2 linked regions of the Kluyveromyces lactis genome follow. The protein of the gene in region 1 binds, or shares a complex with, the protein of each later gene. Links are inferred from orthologs where the notes say so. Each region holds a gene or a part of one and is shown on either strand. Other genes may lie near its edges.

Region 1 (2,821 bases):
GATATTGTTAGAGAGGGGACTAAACAAAATAGTGAAATATCACACACGCCGCTGCCAATATTGTATTGATTCCTTCAGCTAGTCTAAATCAAGTGAAGAGATATAGAGGGTTTTTGCAGGCCAAAAATTTCAAAAACGATTCTAAAGAAAAGAGCCTGAATAAATCCTAAATAGAGAAAGAAAAAAAAAGTCGGGAAACAAACGATAATTACAAGACACAGAAAATCCGGGAATGAATGCCAGTAAGTATTATCAACTCCGTCCTAATCCTAGTGCCCTTCGCCTCTTAAATGAAATCGCTCTCTTCGATAGTCTTGGATCTGACACTGTAGCTTGACGTGCAAAAAACCCAATCCAGCAAGCAACCTTTTGCTTTTGTACCTTAAAAACTAACTTGGTCTTAATACTTTTCCATTTCTCAGTTTCCATACTTTCTATATATTTCAACAAAAAAATCAGTTCGAAAGCTCCATTGTGGTACGATTTCAAAGCCGCTGTCGTATGTTGTGATTTCCGATTTTTTTCCATACCGCAACAGTGTCGAGAGGTATTTTGTCTATCAGAGGAATGGAACGACGACGATGACGATCCGTCAACTGGGGGGTCAAGAATTGTGTCAGTTTCTCTTAGGAAACTTCGCACCTTTCGTTACTCGGGAATGTGCATCGTCTTCTTCCTTTTTTGGTTTCTGTTTGGTTCCCGGTTCAAATTCGGTGATATACATCACAAAATGAATGCTAGTACTAGTAGGATGATCAATGCAATGATTAAGAGAAAGATGCAGCAGTCGTTGACACGTTCTTTGTTGTGTTCGTAGACCCATTCTAGTTGTCGTCTTCCTCTGGAAAGTTTGTTCATGACTCCGTCGACATTTCCGTCCATTTCTTCGAGAATCATGCCCTGTTCTGTTAGTTCTTGACCCATTGTAGATGCCTGTAGATGAATGTTTTGCATTGTCTGGTGAATCATGTCCAATTGATTGTCTTGTTCACGGAGTAATTGCTCCTGTACGGCGTCGTGGTTTGCCGCGTCTGATTGGTCGGTGCCTGCAGTTGCCTCGATGTCCAAATCGAAGGAATCGCCACGCTGTTGTTGCTGCGGCAGCAATGATGATTGGGTAGCTGCATCGGTGTCGCGGGTTGTCTCGATATTTAACGACTGGCATTGTTTCAATTTTGATTCCAGGTTTGCCATGGACTTCTCACGGGTCTGAATTTCGTATTCGGGAATAGCTTGTTCCTGTTTCATCATTTCTATACTCTCATTTAGATCTTGGATAGTCTCTTGAGCCTCAGAGATGATTTCCGAGATCTCTTTCGAACTGGTGTTCGATCTCCCTTTCTTCTTCCTATCTAATATCTGCAATAATTGGTTCAATTGTTCCTCTGTGTCCTTGAAAACCTGAATAAATGGATCCATTTTGTCCTCTTTGCTTTTGGTGGTTAATTTTGATATAATATTGGTATTACCTGATTCAGTGCGGTCTGTTTCTTGGGGAGCTCGAATTGTACCTGCCTTGGTGAACTTTGTTTAAGATTTCAGTTTGTTATTATTTTCCTTTTATTATTGACAATCTTGAAAAATCACTGAGTTTTGACTATATACATGGACAGATCTACACCTAGACTTGGCCGAATAAAGCTCCAATCCTGGTCTCCTGCCACAACTGAAGCTTATCTACATGTCAGAACCAGTGATGGAGAATATGGCACCTGAAGATGTGGTAAAACTTGAGAAAGAAGAACATATTGTACCGGATATTGGCGTCTCTTCGATTTCTACCACTGAACCCCTGTCTCCATCGGGTATACCAAGGGAATCATCTGGAACTGTTACCTCTGCAACTGCAGCTACAACAGAAAGAGAAGTATCACCCAAGAAGGAACTACAAATTGATCATGATCGTGTTGATCCAGTAGCGATGATCGGTGGGTCAACCACTAGAAGATATTTGAATGAACATGTAACAAAACATTTATTGGAAGGAATGAAACTGATAGCCAGAGAAAAGCCCGAGGATCCACTTCGAGTATTAGGCCAGTTCTTGATTGATGCAAGCGAAATGAACCAGAAGCCTTCATCGTAGATATGAATTTACGACTTTCTTAAACTAAAGACATCTGTATTATTATTATTATTTTATATATGTATGTTTTCCTTCAATGTCCAGTTCACTTATAGATATCTACATGAACTAAAACTTCTCCTCTTCGAGTATTTCTGATGGCTTATTTAAAATCTTCAAACCATAACCGCATAAAATGCTTAGAAGCCCGAGTCTCCAGCCTCGCCATAGTTCACTAATTCTGTCGCACTGCTTGAATACCGTCAGGTAGATGGATTGGTACTCCCTTGGTTTTATGATTAACATTTCAGATTGTACTTGGAATGGGTTTTCTGTGAACAAGAACTTCACTTGACTCCTTCTCAATAGATTCTCAATTGGTAGCTTTACGAAGAGTTCACAAACTTTACTGCAGAACTTTAATGTGTTGTACAGAATCACATTAGTGAATTTGTCAACATTGAACTGATGATATAGTATTGCACCGGTTAATTTGCTAAATCCTGTCCCTACCAGGGAATATAATATATTCAAAAAGACCAATTCCTTATTTAGTTTGGATATGTTTTCCCTCCAGGACCATTTTCTCAACAATTTTCTTAAGGATCTATCGTTATCAGAAAGGGAACCATCGTTACGAACAGAAGAGATAATTAACCTAACTCTGACGAGATCCAACGGTAATAATACAAGTCTTGTCATGCAACTTGCCAAAAGAATTAAGCTTGCGGATTTCGTTACGTCTGGTGAGTGTAT
Region 2 (2,611 bases), on another chromosome or scaffold:
CTGGGAGTGTACCCTCATAAGTCACAGGAACATTCATTCTTGCCGTAGTGTCATAAGAGATAGTGCCCTTGATAGGTGTGTCTTCATTTTCACTATGTTTATCATTCGAAAGAACGGAATCCTGGTCTATAAAAGCAGCTGGAGGCGCCTTACGCCCGGCCAACGTCCTAGTAGCAGTCCCAGTAGCAGTACTAGGTTTTCCATAAACGCTTTCCAAAGTTATCGAGTTTAATTTATCAGCAAGCGCCAGAGAATGAGTCGGTGAATTTTTGACTATTGACACTTTCGATGAGCTACGAGAAGATGACAACCCACCACCTGGAACGATTCGAATTGCATTAATGCTGCTATTACTCCGCGTCATACTCCCATTTGAGTTTCCAGCTGGAACCAAAACAATAGACTCATCACCACTAATTTCATTCTCCAATGCTACAGCCGCAGCTTGCTGCGATAACGCTGCATTACCTTCGACAGTCCGTGGGGAAACAGATAATCCGCCCATCGGTTTGCCCTTTAAACTAGATCTCGGACTTCTTCTAATAATGTTTATCGGAGTAGAAGTTGCAGAGGATGAAGAAGAGGACCTTGCCATAGCCTGGACGTTATGTGCCGGCGTACCATGCCCTGAATTGGGTAAAGATAGTTTTGTCCCTGGTGCATCCGATACTGCAAACCCTTGGCTCACAGTATGTTTCTTGAACATTGCCTGAGCAGCTTTCAGGGAAGCATCTTCACCCAATCGATCCTCATTCTTTCTATTGCTTTGTGTCACTATAACGTTCGGTTTATCCACTTGATGTCGGGATCTAAACCTCATCCCCGGTCTGTTGCGCCAAAATTCACAATCTCAGACCAAAAACAGAAGAGTTATTTAAGTATCAGATCCACTATTTGGTCATCCAATCGCTTCTCCTGTATCTGAGGGTGTTTCGTTGATCTGTTTGACATTTTCTCTGCAAACGTTGCGGGATGTACATAAATGTGTATATAAATACGTTTGATGGAACCTGTCTAGAAGCTAAACCCTTTAAAGAAACGGGAAAGATAAAGGTCACGTGATGTAGTCATGTGACCTGCTTTTTTTTTTTTTGAGTGCGTTCATCATACTTTAGACATTTCAGCTTGACATTAATTACCTTTGGACTAACCATTTTGAAGGTAGCCTTAACGGGTAATTGAATGTCTAGACGATACAGGACCCCAAGCCTACAGCCTGTTCAGTAATATTCAAGAGAGTTTGTGTTTCTTGGGACCATGGCAGAACAAATTACGCATAAAAAATCGTTGAAACGGGTAGATAATGAGAAGAGAAGGCTATTGAAAGAGTATTATCGACTACAAAAGGATAATAAGCCTGGAGAAACAACTGCTGAATCGGATAAGGCTGATACGAAGTCGCCATCGCCGTCAGTTTTACCTGGAGTAACAACGGGGTCGATACCAGCATCAGGTGCTGACATTGATTCTGGCGTGACCAGCGCTAATCTTGGCAATGTCGTTGCTTCTACACCCATTGAAAACTGCAAATCACCTCAAGATACAGAGCAAGAGATCCGGTTAGAACTGGAAAAGGGTGATATAGATGTAACAAAGAAGTCTTTGAAGCAGTTATTGCAAGTTCAAAATCTGCTCTTGGCAGAGGAAACTGAAGCAGACAATGCCATTAAGAATACTATATACGATAATTATTACGATTTGATTAAAGTGGATGAAATACTAAAAGAGATGACTCAGTTGGATGAATCCTTAGTGGAGCAACTGCGAGAAACGTGCAATATGGCTCGACCCATGTTGAAACAGTGACGGTATGCGCTGCATGTCGTATATTCTTTATTTCCCAGATCATCCTCGTCCTATCAACTATCATGATCTTTGTTCTTTCATAGATTTTGTATTATTACTACCAATATCATCTTTATCCTGCTCGTTATTAATATAAGGACCTGCAAAGATCCCGTCTTCAGCAGAGTCGCCATCGATTCCGTTTATTTCTATACCTACGGAACTGCTTGTGCTACCGACATCGTCATCATCGAATTCACCAGTACCATTGCCAAACCATTTAAATCTGCAGCACCATATGAAATGGGAAGCGAATATCCCGAGCTCTAACGCTGCGACGACAGCATACAATACAATTCCCATGATATCCATGTTCCCTACAATAACACTGGCAATGCTACACCATGCACCAAGTGAGTCAACAAACAAGAATATGAAATTTATGCCAACGACACGTCCCTGACGTTTCGCAAGCTCAAAATATGGTGGGATCAATCCTGCTGCAAGCAAAATAGTGGCAATGATTCCTATCACTAGCGCTGGCCAATGAGTACCATGATCATACACCGGTCTTAACCAAAGAGTAAACCCTATCTCAAAGCTGACAATGAATAATATCATGGGTAAAATACATCGAAGCAAGATCTTTTTCACAGAGAGACTGTAAGGGGGATAATATAATGATTGAACCCATGATAATGAGCAGAAAAACATGAATAAATGCGGCTGGATCTGAAGAATTATATTACCTCTTGTTATTAGAAAGTAGATTCCAAACGGTACCCCAGAAACCACCCAAAGAAACATCATTGAGGGGGGGAACCCT

What was found.
Region 2: the proteins of TLG1 (region 1) and VPS51 are in contact, whole or in part, in a crystal structure (PDB 2C5I), measured with the Saccharomyces cerevisiae proteins. The link is inferred for Kluyveromyces lactis from reciprocal best matches to the Saccharomyces cerevisiae genes TLG1 and VPS51. Residues at the interface, in NP_010756.3 of Saccharomyces cerevisiae: Pro7, Phe8, Gln10, Val11, Asp14, Glu17, Gln18, Arg21, Ile22, Tyr25, His29, Asp34, Gln37, Glu40, Ile41, Asp43, Ile44, Asp47, Glu50, Thr51, Asp54, Leu55, Arg57, Ser58, Val61, Arg64, Asp65; in NP_012945.1 of Saccharomyces cerevisiae: Lys9, Leu11, Arg12, Val13, Ser15, Leu16, Asp19, Arg20, Leu22, Leu23, Leu24, Glu26, Phe27, Leu30.

The regions. Positions count from the first base shown.
Region 1 is NC_006041.1:318,765-321,585, reverse strand, and holds TLG1 (Tlg1p), read right to left. Parts: upstream 1,420-2,821; coding exon 724-1,419; downstream 1-723. Other genes in the region: SDC1 (Sdc1p), read left to right, coding at 1,682-2,086; mitofusin complex protein UGO1, read right to left, coding at 2,195-2,821.
Region 2 is NC_006040.1:186,559-189,169, reverse strand, and holds VPS51 (Vps51p), read left to right. Parts: upstream 1-1,257; coding exon 1,258-1,806; downstream 1,807-2,611. Other genes in the region: KLLA0_D02222g (uncharacterized protein), read right to left, coding at 1-820; ILT1 (Ilt1p), read right to left, coding at 1,867-2,611.